4 linked regions of the Ovis aries genome follow. The protein of the gene in region 1 binds, or shares a complex with, the protein of each later gene. Links are inferred from orthologs where the notes say so. Each region holds a gene or a part of one and is shown in the gene's direction. Other genes may lie near its edges. The genes, in order: SMAD7, NEDD4L, SMURF1 and SMURF2.

The links.
Region 2: the proteins of SMAD7 (region 1) and NEDD4L are in contact, whole or in part, in an NMR structure (PDB 2LTY), measured with the Homo sapiens proteins. The link is inferred for Ovis aries from reciprocal best matches to the Homo sapiens genes SMAD7 and NEDD4L. Residues at the interface, in NP_005895.1 of Homo sapiens: Glu203, Glu205, Ser206, Pro207, Pro208, Pro209, Tyr211, Ser212, Arg213, Tyr214, Pro215, Asp217; in NP_001138439.1 of Homo sapiens: Arg394, Asp396, Lys398, Arg400, Tyr402, Val404, Asn405, His406, Arg409, Thr410, Thr411, Thr412, Trp413.
Region 3: the proteins of SMAD7 (region 1) and SMURF1 are in contact, whole or in part, in an NMR structure (PDB 2LTX), measured with the Homo sapiens proteins. The link is inferred for Ovis aries from reciprocal best matches to the Homo sapiens genes SMAD7 and SMURF1. Residues at the interface, in NP_005895.1 of Homo sapiens: Glu203, Glu205, Ser206, Pro207, Pro208, Pro209, Pro210, Tyr211, Ser212, Arg213, Tyr214, Pro215, Asp217; in NP_065162.1 of Homo sapiens: Glu313, Arg315, Ser316, Thr317, Arg321, Tyr323, Val325, Asp326, His327, Arg330, Thr331, Thr332, Phe334, Thr335.
Region 4: the proteins of SMAD7 (region 1) and SMURF2 are in contact, whole or in part, in an NMR structure (PDB 2LTZ), measured with the Homo sapiens proteins. The link is inferred for Ovis aries from reciprocal best matches to the Homo sapiens genes SMAD7 and SMURF2. Residues at the interface, in NP_005895.1 of Homo sapiens: Glu203, Leu204, Glu205, Ser206, Pro207, Pro208, Pro209, Tyr211, Ser212, Arg213, Tyr214, Pro215, Met216, Asp217; in NP_073576.1 of Homo sapiens: Glu304, Arg306, Asn307, Thr308, Ala309, Thr310, Arg312, Tyr314, Val316, Asp317, His318, Arg321, Thr322, Thr323, Gln324, Phe325, Thr326.

The regions. Positions count from the first base shown.
Region 1 is NC_056076.1:48,951,091-48,957,065, reverse strand, and holds the start of SMAD7 (mothers against decapentaplegic homolog 7), read left to right. Parts: upstream 1-2,396; 5' UTR 2,397-3,990; coding exon 3,991-4,606; intron 4,607-5,944; coding exon 5,945-5,975. UniProt on the Homo sapiens protein: Antagonist of signaling by TGF-beta (transforming growth factor) type 1 receptor superfamily members; has been shown to inhibit TGF-beta (Transforming growth factor) and activin signaling by associating with their receptors thus preventing SMAD2 access.
Region 2 is NC_056076.1:57,867,955-57,873,209, forward strand, and holds part of NEDD4L (E3 ubiquitin-protein ligase NEDD4-like), read left to right. Parts: exon of another isoform or gene 1-2,995; coding exon 2,996-3,098; 3' UTR 3,099-5,255. UniProt on the Homo sapiens protein: E3 ubiquitin-protein ligase that mediates the polyubiquitination of lysine and cysteine residues on target proteins and is thereby implicated in the regulation of various signaling pathways including autophagy, innate immunity or DNA repair.
Region 3 is NC_056077.1:37,683,086-37,688,340, forward strand, and holds part of SMURF1 (E3 ubiquitin-protein ligase SMURF1), read left to right. Parts: intron 1-3,219; coding exon 3,220-3,334; intron 3,335-4,478; coding exon 4,479-4,657; intron 4,658-5,255. UniProt on the Homo sapiens protein: E3 ubiquitin-protein ligase that acts as a negative regulator of BMP signaling pathway. Mediates ubiquitination and degradation of SMAD1 and SMAD5, 2 receptor-regulated SMADs specific for the BMP pathway.
Region 4 is NC_056064.1:48,460,628-48,465,882, reverse strand, and holds part of SMURF2 (E3 ubiquitin-protein ligase SMURF2), read left to right. Parts: intron 1-53; coding exon 54-191; intron 192-3,156; coding exon 3,157-3,277; intron 3,278-5,255. UniProt on the Homo sapiens protein: E3 ubiquitin-protein ligase which accepts ubiquitin from an E2 ubiquitin-conjugating enzyme in the form of a thioester and then directly transfers the ubiquitin to targeted substrates.

The DNA.
Region 1 (5,975 bases):
TACTCCAGTATTCTTGCTTGGGAAATCCCATGGACAGAGGAACCTGGCGGGCTACAATCCATGGGGTCACAAAGAGTTAGGCACGACTGAGCACACACGCATGGCAGAGTCCCAGGCAGGAATCAGGTTTTCTGACTTCTAGTTTGGCATTCTTTCTAAGCCTTTCTGAGGTGAGTGTATCATTTCTCAGATACCTCCAAAATCCCATTTCTACCTCTTTAGCCTATGATGGTGGGATAACCCATTTTTTCCTGGGCTTTCTCGGCTGCTATCTTTGTAGGTTGCTTGTTCAGAAAGTTTCACACACATACACAGGTTTCAATGCCCTTTTCAATAAGCAATATATTAAAAAAAATATTTATGCACTGGGTGTTAGATCCTGCACGTGGGATCTTTCAATCCTGGCAAGCAAACTCTTAGTTGAGGCATGTTGGATCCAGTTCCCTGGGTAGGGATCGATCGTAGGCCTCCTGCATTGAGGCATGGAGTCTTAGCCACTGGACCACCAGGGAAGCCCAGCACTATTTTTAACTGTAACTAAACTATGATCTTATACAATTGCAGCTATGTGGCTTACAAAGTAAATGTTTAGAATCCCAGCTGCTGCCCTGTTGTACACCTTTCTGCCCTGCTTGGCATTTCTGGCTCTTCTAGGTCAATGAGCTTCAGGGCCCCTTGCTTAGAGATGATAATGATTTTCTCCCTTATATATTATATAATATTATATTACCACATAATATATCTCCAAAGGTGCTCTTGGTGGGTTGGGGTAGGGGGAGAAGGTGGAAATACCTATCCAACTCTGTTGGTTCCTAAATAGTTATTAAGCATCTATAGCATGTAGATGGCTTTTAAGTTGCTGGAAGGGAAGGGGCTGAGTTGAGGTTCATCAGTGCCTTTTCCTTTTATTACGTTTTCCCTTTTTTGGTGCCTTTTCCTTTAAAAGGGGCATAATTTAGCTGAGAAAATGAAAACAGTTCATTTCACCTTTTTTAAAAGATTCATTAAAAAAAAAAAAGTCATTAAAATCCCCAGTGAGTTTGATTGTCATCCTGACCTCACAATTCTAAATGACTTAAAAAAATATATTTATTATTTCATTGAATAAGATGTGAGGTTAGACCACCATGCCAACTAGTGGCCTCGTCGATACTAACGCTTATATATTTAAATCATGACGCTTCTCAGCACCAACAGCTTTCACGAAGTAAACGCTATCTGGTGCTTTGCCCCATCAACGCCTTAGCGTGTCTATGCACCAGTCGGCCAGGTGGGTCTACGCTTTCTCTATGGCCTGGGGTAAGGGGATAAACTCACTGACTCTAAGCGCCACAGAAAGCTACGGGGCCGAGGAGGGGAAGAAACAGGCCCCGCATGCATATGCATGCAGGTCTCCTCGGAAGGTAACCTTCCCGCGCCGGGAGGCGGAGTGGCGGAGGTCTTCCGGGCTCCGGAGGAAACCTGCCCGCGGCGGGCGGGCGAGCACCCCCACACACACCCCCGCCACCTCCCGCCAAGATGCTGCCCCTCGCAACTCGTCAGGCAGCCAAATGCATTCCAGAGCTTTGCACAAGACACACTTCTCCAGGCAGTCCTAGAAACCCGAGCCCCGAGCGGGAGAGGGCGGGAGGGAGCGCGCGGCCGCCGCTGAGGTCACATTCGCGCCGCCTCCCCGCCCTCGCGGGCCGGCTGTTCCCTCCAGCGCGCACTTCCCAGGGCCTCGGTCCAGTCCGGTGTAAATGTCTTTTACGCGGAGACAGCGCTCTCCTCCCCCTTCCCTCCCGCGCGGCGGCCAGGGGATCCGTCGCCAGGGCCTTTAAAACAAAACGAATGAATGAAGCGTTAGAGCGAGCGCGCGCGGGACAGCCCCCGCGAGGCTCCGCGGGCTGGGTCTAAATCCGGCCACCGGCCCGCTCGCTTCGCTCCAAAACTCGCCGGCGGTGCCCGATCGGTGCTCTTGGGTCTTCCCATTTCTCCTCTGATTTCGCCAGGTCTCCGTCAACCCCGGGAGCTTCTCTGCTCCCCACCTTTATCCACCCCCGCTCCCGCCCCATATCGGTCCCCCCTCTGCAGACCCAGGCGGGTGGCGGTGGCGGGGATTTGGTGAGCGGGGTGGGGGGGGGGGAGAAATAGCTTTTAGAAACCCGATCTGTTGTTTGCGAAACACAATCGCTTTTTTTTTTTTTAAAGCGACAGGGTGTCTAGACGGCCACGTGACGAGGCCGGAGCCGGGCGCGCCACTGCGCAGTGGAACCAGCAGAGCAGAGGGCCCGGGGGGGGGGGGGGGGGGCGGGGAGGAGGCGGCGGCGGCTGGGGGGCGGGGGAGGGAAGGGGGAGGAAGGGGGAGGGAAGGGGGCGGGGGCGGGAGGCCTTGCGGGAGGCGGCGAGCCCCGGGCACACTCGCTCGCCTGCTCCGCGCACGGAGGAGCCTGTCCCCGAGCCGCGCCAGCCGAGCCAGCCGGGCGCCGTGCTCGGTCCGCTCGCCGCGCCGGAGAGAGCTGCCCGAGACGAGAGCCAGCCCGCCGGCGCCGAGCTGCCGAGCGCCCGGCCCAGGAGCCCCTGAGTGCGGCGCGGCGAACCCCGGGCGGCGGCAGAAGGACCCGAGTGCCAGGAGAGGGCGGACGGGGGGACAAGGAGGCTCCCGGCCGCGACGAGGAGAGTCTCTCGGAGAAGGCGGCGTGAGGGACAACCGGGGCCTCCAGTCGCCGCAGCCGAGTCGGGGCGAGCAGCCTTTTACGGGGAGCCCCGGCGGCCAGCCGCAACCCGGGGAGGGGGCGCCGGTGGCCCCCGCGCTAGAGAGCAGAGGGCGAGAGCGCGCCGCCCGCCAGGGGCCCGCCGCGGCCGCCGCGCCGCCCTCCCCCGCGCTGTCAGCCCCGCGGGGCGCAGCCGCCGCCGCCGCAGCATCTTCTGCCCCTGCGCCCCCGCCAGCCCCAAGGAAGTCCCCGCCGACGACCGGGGCCCCCGGGAGCGCAAGAGGAAAGGCCAGAGACTCCCCTAAACCACCCAGATGCGAAGGATTGAAGCAGCCTAGCCAAAGCTTTCTGTGGATTAAAAAATATATATATAGGATTTTTTTTTTCCTTGGCAGAAGAAAAGGAGAGGAAGACCAGCGGGGCTCTGCAAGGAAAAAAGGGGGATGTAACTCGTGGATACGTTTTTTTTCCACCCCTGAAACGTCTCGTTCTACTTTGTAAACATTTTCTTTTTTTAAACCCCAGCTCCAGCCGGACGCCCCCAGACCTCCGGGGTGCGAGGAGGTGGTGTTTTTCATTTGGGGCTTTGCATGTTTGGTTCTTAGATTTTGAGAGCCTCCTTATTTCGCCAGACATCTCATGTGGGGTGAAGTCCACTCAGCCCCCTCCCCCGAGTCTTCGTGTGCACGGAATTCAAGGAGATCCGGTTACTAAGGATATAGAGGAAAAAAATAAATCGCGTGCCTGCTTTTTTTTTTTAATTGCTTCTCCCCACCCCCAAATTAAGTTGCTTAGCAAGGGGGAAAGAGGCTTTTTCCTCCCTCCAGCAGCCCTGCCGAACGCCTTTCGTTTTTTGCCGCCGCGGATCTTCCATGTAGGCAGCCGAGGCTGGCGAGCCCGACACTCGGGAGCCACTGCGGGGGGGCCTCTTTTTGGGGAGGCGCCGACCCGGGTAGGCTTCGCCGCCCCCGGGGAAGCGGCGGCCGCGTTCCTCCGGGGTGCGCCGGGGCCCGCGAGCGGCGCACGGCGCGGGCCGCGCGGGGTGGGGCAGCCAGAGCGCAGGCCCCCGAGCCCCGGCGGGCGCCCCCGGGCCCCCGCGCGCGCTCCGGCCTCCGGGAGACTGGCGCATGCCACGGAGCGCCCCTCGGGCCGCCGCCGCTCCTGCCAGGGCCCCTGCTGCTGCTGCTGTCGCCTGCGCCTGCTGCCCCAACTCGGCGCCCGACTTCTTCATGGTGTGCGGAGGTCATGTTCGCTCCTTAGCCGGCCAACGACTTTTCTCCTCGCCTCCTCGCCCCGCATGTTCAGGACCAAACGATCTGCGCTCGTCCGGCGTCTCTGGAGGAGCCGTGCGCCCGGCGGCGAGGACGAGGAGGAGGGCGCGGGGGGAGGCGGAGGAGGAGGCGAGCTGCGGGGAGAAGGGGCGACGGACGGCCGGGCGCATGGGGCCGGCGGCGGCGGCGGCGCAGGCAGGGCTGTCTGCTGCCTGGGCAAGGCGGTGCGAGGTGCCAAAGGTCACCACCATCCCCACCCCCCAGCCGCGGGCGCCGGCGCGGCCGGGGGTGGCGAGGCGGATCTGAAAGCGCTCACGCACTCGGTGCTCAAGAAACTGAAGGAACGGCAGCTGGAGCTGCTGCTCCAGGCCGTGGAGTCCCGCGGCGGTACGCGCACCGCGTGCCTCTTGCTGCCCGGCCGCTTGGACTGCAGGCTGGGCCTGGGGGCGCCCGCCGGCTCACAGCCGGCGCAGCCGCCCTCCACCTACTCGCTCCCCCTCCTGCTGTGCAAAGTGTTCAGGTGGCCGGATCTCAGGCATTCCTCGGAAGTCAAGAGGCTGTGTTGCTGTGAATCTTACGGGAAGATCAACCCCGAGCTGGTGTGCTGCAACCCCCATCACCTTAGCCGACTCTGCGAACTAGGTAAGAAGTTGATCCACGCCCACCCGCCCGTGCCCCCCCTTTCTCCCGGCACTCAGGTGTGGGGAAGAAAAGCCCGATTGGGCTGTGGGTTAGTGCAGCCACCTCGCCGGAGGGATGTGTGTACATTCCCTCCTGGGAGGAGATTTGGGGGACAAAGGTAGAGAAGGGACCCGAGGAAACTGGAAAGGCATTCCCTCGGGGTTCCCTTCCAGTTTTCTCTCCTCGGTGGCCCCAAGGGCGGGGGGGGGGTTGCCCCTGGGCCCTACTCATTCATGCCCGTATTCTGCAGACATGGGGTTATTTCCGGATCAGCCAAGGGGGTGCAGAGAGAAGTGTGTGTGTGTGTGGGGGGGTCACGCCTCCCCCGCACGGAGAGCGGCGTTGAGGTGTGTGGCCGATTTGGATTCGATCCAAGCCCGCCAAGGAAGGCTCGGAGAAGCGGTAGTAAAGGCTGGAGAGGAAGGCTCCCCTTTAGGAAGGAAGGGGGAGCGTCACGTCGGGCGCAAGGGGCCAGGAAGCCTGCCCTGGCCGGCGCAGATTTGGGTTTTGAGGCAGAGAGAGCAGGATAGGAGGCCGAGCTGTGTACCTGCTCCCAGCTCCGCCAGCCCGGGGTGAGAGAAAACAGGCAGTCAGGGGAAGTTGGGTGTCCCCTACTTTCTTCAGCGCAGGAGAGAGAGCAGTGTAACCGACCGTCGGATGGTTTGCCCCCAGACTACTGAGTTGGGCCCCGGGCTCCTCCGTTGAGACCCCGGGGCCCTTCTCCTTTATGCTCTCAGCCTTCTCCTTTGCATCCCTTTTCTCTGCCTCTTCGTGCGGAGGCGGGGTGCACCTAGGGCGCCCACCGATCCAAGTTCCCCAGCGCCCTTGGGGTGCACCTTCCGAGGGAGCTGGGCAAGGGGGAAGCCCGTGATCCCCGCGCGGGTGCGGGGCGCAGCGGCGGTGGCGGAGATGAACTGCGCCCCGGGGGGACGGGTCGGGGCGGGGGGCGGAGGGAGCAGGGTCTGAAGTTCTGGGACGCGAAGTGAGGCGGGGGGCTTCGTCGCCCCCCGCCCCGTGAACTGCGACGTGCGGCGGCCGAGCCGGCGGTTTGCAGCCGGGCCGGCCGAGCGCGGCGGCGGCGGCCGCAGACGTGGAGGAGCGCCGCGCCGAGGCTGGCGCCAGGCGGCCTCTTTTGTTTATCTGACAGCTAAATATCAAGGCAATCACCGCCTCGCGGCCCTGCCTCCAACCCCCACAGCTAAGACAAACAGTTGGGCTAAAAGAATGCCTCTGTTATCATAAGTTTCTATCTCTCTCTCAGGGCTCAGCCTTTATTTTCTCTTTCTTTTTTAATTCCAGAGTCTCCCCCTCCTCCTTACTCCAGATACCC
Region 2 (5,255 bases), about 8.9 Mb from region 1:
TTCTGCTGACAACCCGGGGCTGATGGCGTGGGAGTTCCTCTTTTTTTCTCTGCTGTGGCTCTCCTCCCACCCAGCCCCGGCTTCTGCTGAAACAGAAACACAACAACCATGCTTCATTCTTGGTACGCTGTGAACAGACTTCCCCGCGACAACCATAGATGTGGCTAAATAAAATCTAGCCATATGTGTTTAATCTCTTCCATGTTGGATGAAAATACAAAATACACAGTGAAGCGTCAAGATTAAAACCTGATTTACTAGGAGAGCGAGGGCTTGGCGGAGCTGGTTCTTTGACATATAATTGTGGCATATCTAGCATGAAGCGGCTTCTTTCCTTTGTTCTATCAAAGGTCACTGCTCATATAGTTAAAATTCCTCTTTACTAAGCAGCACAGACCCACCTAAAAATAATCTCCTTCAGCCCACACATCTTCCAAACAAGGCTTACCCCCTGAGGGTAAGAAGGCCGTGCAGCTGGTTGGTGGCAGGCCAGAGCCAGACCTTCTCCTGACATCAGAAAAAATGGCAACGCTGAGCACTCACTGTGCTCCAGGCATCGCCCTTACAAGCGCCGTGTGTGTGAACCTGTGACACCGTCACAGCAGTTCTAAGAGGCAGGTCCTGAGAGTCCCCTCTAAGCAGTGGAGCAACTGACGCCCTGAGAGCTGACAACATCCCAAACCTCAGCTCTTCACACTCCCCTCATCATGCCAGTATTTCTCAAGCTTGAATAATCTATGGACCTTCTTTAAAATGGCCACAGACTCTTGAAGCCCCTCAGGATTGCAGGCCCTGGACTGTGAAATACCAGCTTAAAATCAAGACAACAGCTGCCTCCTGGTAAAAGGCTCTTTTAAGTGTAGCTGCAGAGTGGGGTTTTGTCTTTGTCGCTGGTGAAATGACATTGGAGGTCGTTATCACGGTGAAAACCAAACGTTGAAAACTTCTTTCCATCTTAATCTTTCAGGATTCCTGAGCCCTCTGGTTTGGGAGGCACAGTGTTCTGCTCTGCTGTGTATTTTGATGTTAAAAAATCTCAGAGCTCAGTGTGTCTTATCAAATACTCAGTGGTTGTTAAAGGGCCCACCCTGCTCATGCGTCCGGGTCTTACTGCTGACAATGATTGGCTTTAAAACACAGGAAGATGCTCTGCTCATCCTTGGAAACCTATGCCAGTGCCGAGAGCGCGCAGTCTTAGACACTGAGGCAGCCTGACCATATCCGGGCCTTGGAGCCAGCCTGGGGCTGAATCTGGGCTCTCCCACTTACTGGGTGACCTTGGGCAAGTTCCCTAACCTCTCTGTGCCTTGGGTTCCTCTACAAGTAGGGATGCGGCATCACCTACCTTACAGGTGGGCGCCAGGATTCGCTGAGGGGATCAAGGAACAGCACCCTGGTGGCAACAGCTGGTGAAGACTCCACCTGCCACACAGGAGACGCAGGTCCAGTTCCTGGGAGGGGAAGATCGCTGGAGAAGGCACAGGCTCCCCGCTCCAGTATTCTTGGGCTTCCCTGGTGGCTCAGCTGGTGAAGACTCCACCTGCGGTGCAGGAGACCTGGATCCAGTTCCTGGGAGCGGAAGATCCGCTGGAGAAGGGACAGGCTCCCCGCTCCAGTATTCCTGGGCTTCCCTGGTGGCTCAGCTGGTGAAGACTCCACCTGCAGTGCAGGGTTCAGTTCCTGGGCGGGGAAGATCCCCTGGAGAAGGGAAAGGCAACCCACTCCAGTATTCTGGCCTGGAGAATGCCATGGACTGTCTAGTCCATGGGGTCGCAGAGAGTCAGACACAGCTGAGCGACTTGCACTCACTCAGCACTAACAGTGCTGGCGCGGGGCAAATGCTCCACAAATGTCAGCTTATGAAAGCATAATGAGCTAAGGCGTGCACGTGTGTGTGCACGCATGCACACATGTGCTAACAAGCCACAAGCGCATGTAGCCATTGTCACGACAGAGGCCTGCCAGCAGCCCGCCTCCCTGGTCTGTGTCTGGGGCTCCAGGTCCCTGTTCCTGGGGCGTGAGGGGTGCGTGGGGGGGGGTGGTGCAGGGACCGGCGAGTGAGTGGTGACAGTGGTGTCTGCCCGTGGGCGCTCACTGTGTGCCAGACCCCTTTATGTGTGTGATCGGACCCTCCCAGCACCTGACCCTGCGGCAGTCTCCCCACGTCACAGAAGAGCCAACAGAGAGGGAAGTGACTGGCCTGAGATCACCCGGCTGGCAGGTGGCAGAGACAGGATCTGAACTCCGTCCTGTGAACACGTGTGATCATTGCTCACAGAGGCCCCGTGTGTCTGGAGGTCTCACCGTCACCAGGGTGACTTGTACCCCCCCGGCCAAGGCCTCCAGCTGTGGAGGGGTTTTGTGTAAAGGCAGCTCTTCACGCCGACGCCAGTGACTTGCCTGCCTCTGGGTAGAGGGCCGCTCCACGTCGGGGCCCCAGAGCCACGGGGGCCTGGGTTCCGGTCTCAGGTCTGCGGTGTGGTCAGGGCTGAGGCTGGGACACGGCGACCTGCCGCCCGGCTGCAGGGCCCGCATCTGCAAAACGGGGAAACATCACCCTCTCAAAGGGGCTGTGCTGAAAACTGGCGCTGCGTGCAGAAGCGCTGGCTTCCTAAAATAGTGTCAGATGAGGGAGAGCATCAGAGAGCCTCCTTTTGCCCTGCTGCGGAAAGCCCTTGGGTTTCCAGCTTGGAAGCCTCAGCGTGTGCACCAGTTACCTTGCCTGTTCTCTTCCCTTCCCAGCACGCGCTTCTAGGGTGCACGTCCGACTGTAGTAGAGAGGTTTCACAGACGATTCGGAAATCCTTTTCTCGTCCCCTGCAGGTGTGTGGTGTGGGCAGGGTCATCACTGGATTATAATTTTTGTGCCGAGGCTTTTACAATCCTCCCGCTCAAACACACCACGTGCGCTCTTAAGCCAGATCGAGGAGACCCGGGTGTAGCTCACAGACAGAAATGCTGGTGTTTTACCTCCGCTTTGTTGTTACTTTTGCAGCTTTAATCGCCTTGACTTACCTCCGTATGAAACCTTCGAAGATTTACGAGAGAAGCTTCTCATGGCTGTGGAAAATGCCCAGGGATTCGAGGGGGTGGATTAAGTGCCCCCTGCCTCAGGGCGGTTGTTCTTCGAGCAAGTCCTGCTTGCACTTTTGCATTTGCCTGACAGACTCTGCAGAGACGCTGGCAGAGAGCAGCGCGGCGAGGGGTCCCGGAGAGCGGAGCCCCTGCCCCCGACTTGCCCACGGCCGACAGGGAGACCCCGTCCCGGGTCGCGTTCCTGCATTTCCCACCACCAATTTCCAACTGGTTGATGTGTATACTGATTACATTTCAGGAGGACTTATTCTATTTATGTTGTGCCTCTGTAGGCCAAGCCCTTAATAAATATTTTCCATACTTTATAATGACAGCGAATGGAATTAATCACTCTACAGGTATAGTATTACAACTCATGTTTACTTTTTAAAATGATTTAGGCCGATTTGCAGATTTTATTTCACAATTAAAGATGTCTCATGTACTTGGAAAAGTGAGCATATTTTTTTTTTTTGTATTTGAATTTCATACCAGGTTTAATGTCGGTGATGTTTTTATTTTTAAAGTACTTGGAAAGCCCCACCCCCTACAGGATTAGCTATGGAAGACTGACTTCTGTCCAGAATCCTTCTGCAGACAAATACTCTTAACATTAGCCATCATGACAGTTTTTTCCATGCTCAGAATGAAAACTGGATATTACATTTTTTTGTTCAAATTTAGCGTAATAGCTGCAGACTGAGAGAATTGTAACATAGCATGACAAAATTTGTGTTGACTTGAAGGAATCACACCATTATTCCTTAGAAGTAACTACGTGTGCTGGAGCACGTTTGAGGCAGGGTTGGACTATGACTTCTCGAAGAGAAGCTACTTAACCCTTCCCGATGCTGTACAGCCCTCCTGTCATATTCTCCTCCTCGCTGTTGTAGTCGAGACGCTCGAATGGAACTTGGCACCGAGTGACGGGAGAGCAGGCCTGTGCAACCTCCTGCCTGTGCGCGTTTGCGAACAGTAGCTGAACACGCAACTTCTGTTCTAACTGCACCAGTTCTGAAGGCACTTTATGTACCACATGGAGGTCATGCCTGGTTTTGTTTTGGTTTTGTTTTTTAATCATAGCATTGAATGTGATTTCTTCTCTCTGCACACGCCTTTCCGGTGCAGTATCTATCGGTTGTGAATCTGGCTGCTGGTGTCTAAACCCTGGCTGTAAAGCTGAGCCTGGAGGCCTGTCCTCACCAAGCGTTTTGTGATTTCTACTCCACTGCAAAGATTACTAGACAATCTAACCAGGTTTTGTTCCCGATGACCTGTTGCATGCTTCCATACCGTGCTCTGCCCGCGCTGTATCCGTCGCGTGCTAGATTAAAAGGGTGGAGAGACCTGATTTGGCATCCGGATGTCTGGCTCTCCAGCTGACCCTGCGGGGGGTGGAGAGCTCTGCGGGATTCGTGTTTGTGGCCACTCTCGAGTCCTCGCTGCAGAACTGTGTTTTGAGGGGACGCCTGAGGCAGGGCTAGGGGGTCTAGCAGACCCTTCTGTCCTTCTTAACCTGTGTTGTCCTAAGCCCTGTGGCGGCCGTCCAGGGAAACTGGATAGATTGCTTGCCAGTTGTGGATGAGACCAAAAGAACTGTGGTTTCAGGGCCTCCACTTAGGATCTTCTGGGTGGCTTGTGGGAAGCCTCGAGTGTTTGTGGTTGAGCTGTTTAAAGGGGCTACAGAGCCCTTGGCATCTAAAAGGTGGAGTTCTACAGAGCTGAGGGTTGTTCCCTTCTCACGTTGATTTTTAAAAATCCAATAATGATCAAAAAACTTAGATGTTGAGTAATTAGGAAAAAAAAAACAATATTGCTCATTATTTTTACCTCTTGGTGGGATTTTCTCCCTTCAGTTGATATAACAAGTATCTTCTTCTCTTAGCCCCTCGGCTTGCTTTTTATGATTCATCTCAAAGCCTGGGAGAGCAGTGTGCTGGGATGGGTTTTATAAGTGTGTAATTATAGGGAAGAAATCCAACAATCCTTGTCGAAGAACTGGGATTCTTCTGTCATTTCATAAATTCTTAAATCAGAATATTCACTGAATGCAAATTAGGCAAAGTACTGAAAATACGCAAGAAAACCCATTCTAAGATCATTTCTGTGCCAAGAACAGATAAGAATTATTGAAATAGACCCCCGTGAATACTTGGAAGGCGGTAATTGTGAATGACAAT
Region 3 (5,255 bases), on another chromosome or scaffold:
GGCGAGGATCAAATTTAATCCTTTCCTGCTTTGGAGTCTCAGTGTCTTCAGTTCTTCTGTCGTTGGCTTTGCAACTGTGCACGATGTGTTTCCGCCTTTATTTTTCTGTTGTCCACGAGAGACACTGTCTCTTGGCCTCTCTTTTTCATAAGAGAAGGATATCGATGCTCCTGACTTTCCCTTCCTTCCACTTGTTACCTCTTGCATTCCAGTATCTGTAGTATAACTTTTACAGAGTCAAGGCCAAAGATTTACATTTTGTTCTGTAACCAAAATTAAGTCAGTCTCCTGTGCCTATGTATTATTTGTAAGAGTCGAAAGTCAATACATTGTTTTATATTATTATGAAAGTGTAAATATTGTTTCCTGAGGGATTAAGTGGTATGCTATCATTTATTTTATCCTTTTGAGCAAATTTTAATTTTTCTAAGAATTTCTTCTTTTAAACCAGGTCTTGTCTTTGTTGCTCCATTGAATATCGCCTTTGGCCAATTCCCCCCTCCCATCCTCTCTTGTGGAGGCCCTGTCCCCTGACACGGTTTCTTCAGACCTTCTGCATAGCTGTCTTCGTGGGACATCACTGCTTTCTTGGGTTGGAGCCATTGTTGTGTGGGTCTCACGGCTACTTATTCCTTGGCTTACTCCCTTGTGTTATTGGGGTATATCCTCAAGTAGGTTTCTTAGAAAGGGTGTGTGTGGGGTTAATTTTCCAAGATCTTAGGTCTGAAAATGTCTTATAATCTTTGCTTTGATAGCTTGGCTTCTTATAGACTTCTAGAAAGAAAATCATTTTCAGTCAGAACTCTGAATTTGCTCTCCCGGGTCACTGTCTGATGCGAGTCTGGTTTCAGTCACTTTTGTGCCGTTTGTCCCCATCCGGGAACACCCGTCATCCATAGATGCTGTACCTTTTTCCCGTTTTTCTCTCCCACTCCTGTCTTCAAGGCCTCCTTGCCCGTATCCACCGTCCTGCTCACTCCTCCCACCCCCTCCTCACTTCCTTGCTCCTCTTTCGGCTTGCTGTCACTCACTGGCAGAACCCCAGTTCTGAAGCATCCCATCCCCTCTCTGACAAGGTTACGAGTCAGAGAATCACCAGTGACTGCGAACCTCAACTCTGGTAGGTGCTGCAAGGGGCCTGGTTAACATGCAGTCGTGTGTGACAGTGGTCCCATCTTGGGGGTCATGGGACGGGAGAGCCTCCCACCCTCACAGTTTAGAATACACAAGCAGATTCTCACCCCTGCAGCAGTCAGCACCAGCAAAATTAGGTTCTGAGAAGTGATATGGGGGTCTCACTACGTCTCTGGGTGAAGTTGGGATCTTTTCCAGCTGCCAAAAGTAAGTAAATGGGGCCGGGAACAGAATTGGTCCTCCAGCCTCTTCCCATCGTGTCCGCCTCTCTCCCCTCCTGCCCCTCCGTCTGGGATACAGGTTGAGCCCGGGCCTTCCTGACCACATGCTCACACTGCAACTGCCTCTCCTCGGGAGGTGCTTTTTCTTTCCCGATCGTCCCAGGTTTCTTCTTTGATCTTCTCCATATTGATTCTAGAAAGCATCTTTCTTCTGGCAAATGTAACTTTCGTCTGCCCTGAAAACATGAGTCCCATTCCTAACAAGACAAGGGCTCTAGGCTTTCCGTCCCTCTCTTCAGGGAGACTTCTGTTTCCTCGTTCATGTTTGTCCGAAATTCATGCCACACTACTTCCATTCTCTCTCCTCTGCCTTTTTCTTTCTAGTCTCGGGATGTCTCAAGAGTCAGTATCTTGAATGGTTTCACTTTACATTGTTCCGTGTATAGCTGGGTGAAGTTTGATTTGGAAGGAGTTCGCTTTCTCTACTGTTTTCCATGGTTATGAAGTCTTGCAGGTGGAGATGAGTGTTGGTGTAGCTGCCTTGATGAACATGGTGCTGCAGGGAAAGAGCTGAGAAGCCCTGCTTTTCTGCCGCTAGTCTGATCTCCCACTTTTTCAGCTCTCGAGTCTTCCCCGTGTCTGAATGGTCCATACCTGTCGCGGAGGGCTGAGATGTCAGTTACCTGTGTGTTACACGTGCGTGTATGTCTGCTTCTTTGCCCTGCCTCTGGGTCTGAACCTTTATCCTCTCTCTCTCTCTTCTGACTCTGGGGATAGCGCTTCCTTGACCACTTCTGGAACTTTTCTCGTGCTCTATACCTCGTCCACAGCTCAGTCGGAATGTTTGCTTGTATTTTAATCACTTCCTGTCTAGACAGTTGCAGGTCCTTGGCGTTTATGAAAATAATTCTTTGTAAATCCAAACTCTGAAACTTGGGGCTGAACGAAGCTCGAGTTGGGAAGTCCTGCCTTCCTAATAAAGAGGCTTCCTAAGGCTCGGCGTCTCGTTTCTGACAGTTCCTTCCTGTTGGAGTTCGATATGTCACTTTGTGTTGGTGTGATCATTTTGTGGGTATTTCCACGCGCTTCTCCGACAGATTATCTGCATTTGGGCTTATCCTTCCATATTTTCTCACTTCTGTGTTTTTCTATTTCAAAGAGTAAGAAATTTTAGAACTTAATAAGATTCGTCTATTTAAAGAAGTTTTGAGTAGAAAGAAGACAGGGTTACACACGTGTTTATATAAGACTGCATACCTGGGTTTACCAAACCTGACCACAGCAACTGAGTCACGTTTTCTGTTTAGAGTGCTTTTTTTTTGTTTGGTTTTAATTTGGGCCTTTTAAAAATTAAAATATTTATTTGGCTCTGTGGGTCTTGGTTTCTGCACATGGGGGTCTGTGATCTTTCATCATGGCATGTGAACTCTGAGTTTCATCACGTGGGATATAGTCTCCTGACCAGGGACTGAGCCCGGGCCCCTGCATCGGGAGTACGGATTCTTAGCCATTGGACCACCAGGGAAGTTCCATTGTCACCTGAGATTTTGCCTCTACAAAGTAGCAGAGAAAACCTTCCCTGGGGAAAGGCAGGCTGACAGACACCGTGCCTCTGAGCTGGTGATGATTCCCAGCAGCCAGAGATAGTTCTCAACTTCGGAGTTGCTGAAATTTTGATTTTCTGGTACCGCTAGAAGCAGTTGTTTCCTTCTTGAAGCCTATTTGCCCAGTCCGTACCAATCACCTTTTCTCAGAGCCAGGCAGCCTTATGAGTTTGGCTTCCAAGGGCATGGTCCATCAGTCCCGTGATGAAGATCTAAAACTAGGGGGTTTTAACATGTCTTCTTGTTGTTGTGCTTTCTAGGGAGTGGCTTTATTTACTGTGCCATGAAATGTTGAATCCGTACTATGGACTCTTCCAGTACTCCACAGACAACATTTACATGTTGCAAATCAACCCAGATTCTTCAATCAACCCTGTAAGTATTAATGAATATGGAGGTCAGAAATTAAGTTGGAGAATTTAAGTGGCTTTCCAGTTTCAACCTCAATTCTTGGTTTATTCATTGTAGACCTACTCAAAGTCTGTGGCAAATAAAATATGGAAAGGTAGACTGACAGCGGGATCAGGGATGGATGGTTTCCACCCCTTCTCTTCAGTGACTGGGGTCACTGAGTATGTTGTTTCAAAGACAACGAGTGAAACTGAGCTGCTCGTGGACTCAAAGCATTTTACTGCCATTTGAGGGAACTCTGGCTTGATGGCTGTATTTGTTGATAGTGTCATTCTGAGAAGTGGGGTACGAGGTCCGTCCTCCGCCCAGCCAGAACTGGAATATTCCCTTCTGTAACTGGCCTTTTTGGCCAGCGTGCTGATACTCTTAGCTGCTCGTCATAGCAATGAGGAAATAGGAGCAGAATGTGGCCGAGGGGTGGCCCACAGCGAGCGGAGGGCTCTGCTGCGGGGTCACGTCCTGTGGTCCCCACCGTGCACGTGGCTCTGAGGGGCAGTCAGTGCGACTTTCACCAGTGTGGACACTCTGTAATTCCAACCTAAGAGTAGAAACGGGGGTTCCCTGGTTACAAACCACAACAGCACTGGTTTTGGGTTGTGTGCCCCGCTCAGTCCCTTCTCTGGATTTTTCTCTCTTCTGCTTTCCTGTGGGATGGGGGAGGGATGGCAGAGGAAGAAGGGGGCTGCCTTTCGCCTTTATTTGCTCGTGGCACGCCGGGAGGAGAGGCCGGCGGCCTCCTGGGTGTGCCAGCACCAGGCGCTGCGCTGAGAAGGGGCAGCTCGTGGTTGACGCTTTGCCTTCGTCATGTTGAAATTCTCCGTTTCTGAATAAGAGGTTCTGCATTTTCATTTTGCACTGGGCCCCATAAATTCAATAGCAGTTTGGAGAAGGTATTTGAACCAAGGGCACATGAAGTGTCATTCAGATGACCTCTCCAGAGTCCTGCTCTCATGTGACCTTTGACCAGGTGGGTCCTGAGCGCAGCCTGTGAATCACTGATTCAGCTTCCTGCCTGTGGGACGGGTCTCCTGAGAAGCCTGGAGAAACACCCCTGTCCACCCGGCCGGTCAGCTTCCTAACACTTAGTGTTCTCTGCTGCCCCCTGCAGGACCACTTGTCTTACTTCCATTTTGTGGGTCGGATCATGGGTCTGGCTGTGTTCCACGGACACTACATCAATGGGGGTTTCACGGTTCCTTTCTACAAGCAGCTACTGGGGAAGCCCATCCAGCTTTCTGATTTGGAATCGGTGGACCCTGAACTCCATAAGAGCTTAGTGTGGATTCTGTAAGTACCGACTCAGGGAACTGAAAATTCACGCGTCACCTGTCTTAGGGTGCACCAGACCCATGGCTGTGAGACTGCAGGAGAGAAGCAAACCCCCAGAGACAGAGAAGCTGGTCTGAGGAAAATATCTAATTGACTTACGACCTCCTACACTGTTTGACCAGCTACTCTTCAGGGACCAGTTTCTTTTGTTGTTTCCTTGAATTATTAGGTTACAATTGTGGCTGTTAATCCCCAGGCCTGGTGGTTTGTTTTTTTTAACACTCTGAGGTGTCTCATGGTCTCTAGAGTGACCAAGTGAAATGAAGTGAAAGTCACTCAGTCTTATTTGACTTTTTGCGACCCCATGGGCTGTATAGACCATGGAATTCTCCAGTCCAGAATACTGGATGGGGTATCCTTTCCCTTCTCCGGGGGATCTTCCCAATCCAGAGATCGAACCCAGGTCTCCTGCATTGCAGGTGGATTCTTTACCAGCTGAGCCACCAGGGAAGCCCCTAGAGGGACCAGGAAGTTATCAAAAAAGTCCTGATATTCAGTCGCCTTTGTTTTAAGATTATCCTAAAACTCTTAGAAGCAACAGGCACAACTACACGGT
Region 4 (5,255 bases), on another chromosome or scaffold:
ATCTGAATTTTAGATTTTCTAGTCACGTGTCTTTCCCTGTTCTTCCTTTCTAGCGAGAATGATACCACAGGTGTTTTGGACCACACCTTCTGTGTCGAACATAATGCCTATGGTGAAATCATTCAGCATGAACTTAAACCAAATGGCAAGAGCATCCCTGTTACTGAAGAAAATAAAAAAGAATATGTCAGGTAAACACTTGTATCTTCTTAAGCCTGAGACTTGTTTTAATGTTCTAGAATGGTACAGAAAAACATTGATGCTTAGATAATGTTACTTACTGCCACAGAATAGGCTTCTGCAGAATTAAGTGGCTTAAAAACAACCACCATTTTATTATTTTTCATGGTCTCGTGGGTCAGTTACTTGGATCGAGGACGACAGGGATAGCACACTGCTCCTCCGCGTGGTGTCAGCTGGGGCGGAAATGTTCCGATGGCCTCTTCACTCACATGTCTGATGTTTCACCTGGGGTGGCTTGGCTGGCTGGGTGCTGCCTGGAGTGGACACTGGGTCACCATCTGGCACCTGGTTCTCACTGTTGGCTGGGCTCCTTGGTTATCCCATGTGGTCTCAGAGGCCTGGCTCTTCAGCACGGTAGCCAGACTTCTTATCGGATGGCTGGTTTCCCAGAGCACAGGAGGAGGAGTTGTGGGATCTTTTAAAGTCCCAAGGCTGGAATTGGCCAACATCACCTCTGCTGTATTCTTTTGGTTAAAGCGAGTTGCACACCAGCCCAGGTTCAGTTGAAAGAGGGGCTGTACAAAGGCACTAATTTCAGGAAACACGGTTTGCCATGTCATGTGTGGTGGAGCTCCCACAGCTAGCTGTGCAGAAGCACTTTTGTGCTATATTACTAGGACTTAATCCTACTTATAAACAAAGATGTTGTGGGTTTATATAAGAAATACATGTTTTCAATAGAAATCTAATTTATGAAAATAGAAATATATTTGATATATATTAAATATAAATATAGTAGAAATATTTATTAAAGAAATATAGATTATATAAGAAGTACTATATTTCTTGTTAAAAAAATCAAGAAAATGTTCAGGTTTTACAAAATCACCTGTTGATTGAGGAATCTAGAAGTATTAAGTGAGATCATTTGGCTCATGGTATATAAAGTTTTTCTAAGCATTAAACTATGATTGAATTTAGGAGTGTGAACTTCACCATATGTACACAGAAGTGTGCTTGCTGTCCTTTTTTGCACAGAATATGTCCTCAGGTCTTACTGGCTGAAATGTTTTGGTTTATGGATGAGGCCCATCAGTCTCGTAGCCTGTGAACACTGGTAGAGCTTTGTTGGAAAACAATTTGAAAACACCTGCCAAAATGAAAATGCATATGCAGCTCCATTCTTAGGGATCTATTGTTTGGAAACACATTTGTAATTAAAGAAATACAAGGCTGTTTAAACCTGAAAACTGCAAAATGTTTGTAGAAGAGGATGATGAATATAACAGAATATTGTGTGGCTATTTTAAAAAAGAGATTCTGCATAAGCTGTCACTTAAAAAGCATGTCTTGGAACAAAGTCTGTATTGTTTTATTCTCATACAGAAGATGTTCAGGAAGACCCCTTACCCAATAAAATGTTGCCTAGGGTAGGGGAGTGGAAGTGATAGGCCTGGAAGTAGAGACGAAAGAGGGTAAGAGAGGGGACTTTCGGGTTTTACTCTGTCTCCACATTTAATGGTTGAGTTTTAAATTATGACTTCTCTTTTAATAACAAACACATTTGTAACTTAATGAGGAACTTCCCCATGGTCCAGTGGTTAGCACTCCATGCTTCCACGGCAGGGGGCATGGGTTTGAAGTTTGATCTCTGGATGGGTAACTAAGATTACGCATGTCAAGCAGTGTGGCCCCCACCCCCCCCCAAAATACACACACACATATATAACAATTAAAAAATAAAATAATAAAGAAGAGTGAATGGGGATTTCCTGAAGGTCAGTAGTGTCACTCCCAGGATCTAGAGTAGACTGCTCTCTCCAGGATCCAGTCTTGTTTATAGCACACAGTAATTATTCCTTGGGGCTTCCCAGATGGCTCCATGGTAAAAAATCTACCTGCAGCGCAGGAGACGTGGGTTCAGTCTCCGGGTCAGGTCCCCTGGAGAAGGAAGCCCGGGGAATCTCATGCACAGAGGAACCTGGCGGGCTGCAGCCCAGGGGGTGGCAAGAGAGTCTGACACGACTACCACCGATTATCCCTTATCAGATAGTTTTGAAATTTTAAAAATTACAAAGAAAAACTTTTTACAGGTATGCAGTTTTGATGTGCCCTTAAACAAGGAAAAATGAGGTCCCCCAAGGGATACAGTTAATATTAAGTAACTCATTTCTTAGAGAATTATTTCTCCGAAGTTTGGGAAAGGAAATCCTGACAAATTGGGAGTTTGAGTAGTTCTGAGGTTTGTGAGGTACGTTTTCCCGGGAAGATAGATTAAAAAAAAAAACAAACAATTCATGTAGAAAGTGTAAGTCCAAACAAAGCCGCGAGTACAGCTACACATGCGATGGAGTTTTGTGAACTTTGTTGCTAAATTACATCTCCCAGGGCTTTTAAAGCCTATAGGGGAAAACGAGTGGTCAGAAAGTGCTGGCCTAGTGGCTTTTACTGTTTCTTCTCGTTTTGGATATGAGGATTCTCTTCACTCCCCCTTCCCCCATATACAACACACAAAATATAAAGAAAACACCCAACATGTTCAGATTGTATTTTCAAGTGAAATCAGAAAAAGTCATTTTCGGTTGAATGGGCTTTTTTTTTTCTGGTTATTGGCATGCATGCTAGAAGCTAAGAAAATAATTTCATTTAGATTTTAACTTCAGACCCATCTGCTCTCCAGCCAACTTCCAGTTTAATAGGAGTTTTTCTGAAGTGAAGAGTTGCTGTAGCGATGCTGCTTTTGTTAGTGGAAGGTTACTGTTTTTTAATTTATACTGCTTATAATTTATGCTGAACTGCCTCCCTGCTGAGGATCCATCTCCCTTCGGTAATATGAGATTCTTTTAGATTTTAGACTAAATTCTTAATGCCAGATACTTGTGAAGTGCAGTGTTGCTAATGTACTAGAGATTCATAGTAATTACCAAATCTGAATACATTTCATCATACAAAACCCCTGTCCAATGTTTCCAGGCTTTACGTGAACTGGAGATTTTTACGAGGCATTGAAGCACAATTCTTGGCCCTGCAGAAAGGATTCAATGAAGTAATTCCACAGCATCTGCTGAAGACATTTGATGAGAAGGAGTTAGAGGTCAGTGTATGAGTATCATGACGTCATCTATATAACAAAGCACGGTTGAGAGGTTTCTGTTACTTAGTTTTAGAGGAGTTGTATTTCTGGTGCTTTTGAAGTTTTTCTACGTGTTGCTGTGAGAATTCTGACTCATAGGAAAAGCCGTTCATGTTTTGGAAATTCTGCAAGTAGTCTCTTATATTGTGACTATCCTTTATTTTTCCTTATTTTCTGTTCTTTTAACAGATTTGTGTATTTTGTGTATATTCTCCCAGTGTTATTTCCTATTCTTTAATTAAATGGCTCTTGATTTAGTTAAGTGAAACTTTATCAGTTGGTCTCCACCATAGTGCAGTTTATTTGGAATAAAAACCTAGACCCAAGTGGATTTACGTTAAGCTTTACAAGAAAGCAGTTGATAGACAAAAACCTAGAGGGAACATTCAGGATCATCTCTATCTAAACAAGAACCCACCTGCAATGCAGGAGACCTAGGTTCGATCCCTGGATTGGGAAGATCCCCTGGAGAAGGGAAAGGCTAACCACTCCAGTGTTCTGGCCTGGAGAATTCCATGGAGTACCGTCCATGGGGTTGCAAAGAACTGGACATGACTGAGCGACTTTCCACACTATCTGAACATCTTCAGTCTCCTTGGAAATTTTCATTACTAATACAGACTTTAATAACCAGTTAACCATTGTTTTATTTTAAAGCTAGTCCTTAAAGCACCATAGGTTTAGTTTTATAATTAAGACTTTTAACAAATACATCTGAATTGCTACTGAACTGCTTTGAAAAGTAATGAGATTTTATTCTGCTTGAGGTCCCAAAATTTAATTAGTGCCTAGGGATAGCATAAATATTGGATGTCTATCCATAATTTAAAACATGATTTTATTAATTAACTTTAGTGTCCTTTCTAACTAAATCTGTTAACAGATCTGTTAGACAAACCTAAAAAGATTGGTTTGACTCAATACCACCCCCACTCTTTTCGTGACTGAGCTGTTCATAGTGAAATGGCCAGAAGGAAGTAGGAGGAGGAGTGAGACACAGCAGAAATGACAATAAGGTTGAAATACGATGCATTTTTTTGTGTTCATATAATAAATAAGGAACTTGGCCTTAAAGTTACCACTCCTCTGAAGAAAGGAATTTTGAGAGGTAGAGTCGCTATTATAAGTACTTCTGTAATTCTGTTTGGATAACCACTTACCTGTTCATGTAGCTGTGATTATTTTTCAGAACCCTGTAGAAGCTCTGTTGCAGATTTTATTCAATAATGTTAGCGTTTATTATATAATTTCTACTGCTAATGAAAGTAAGCTTTTCAGAAGAAATATGTATATATATATAAAATTTATTTTAGTGTTATCCTGGGTTATTATAATTAATTGTAAACTATGGGATTTGCAGGTTAAATTATGTTCTGTACTACACACTATCATAAGTCAGTGTTATACACAGGTTAGTAAGATGACTCTGTCTTGGCCCCTAAGGAGGTGTATTAATCGGATCAAAGTGATTTTGACACATCACTTATACTGAGCCTGCATCAGATGCCAAGCAGAGCTCTGTGACAGTGCGTTCATATATTTTGTACTTTGGTCCAACTTTAAACAGACTGTACCACTTACTCAACACAATTTCTTGAATGCCCATGCACTATTGGTTGCTTTCAGAGGATATAATGAAACAGATATTACTGCCTTATTACTGCAGAGGAAACTGTGGCCAAGGGAAGTGAGCAGAACTGCCCAGAATGCCAAAGCTAATAAAGGTTGAAATTGGAATAGTAGATACAGGTCTTAAGGAAGGCATATGTAAGCTGTATTTACTCTAAATCTAGTTTCTGATCATTAACATTTTTTTAGAATTCTACTGTGAGATTATGGAACTTCTCATCTTGTCATGTCCATCACTGTGGTTCTCAGATCCTGGGTAGGGAACCTGCAGTGTGTAGGTACTCATGGAGCTTTTAAAAAATACAGATCC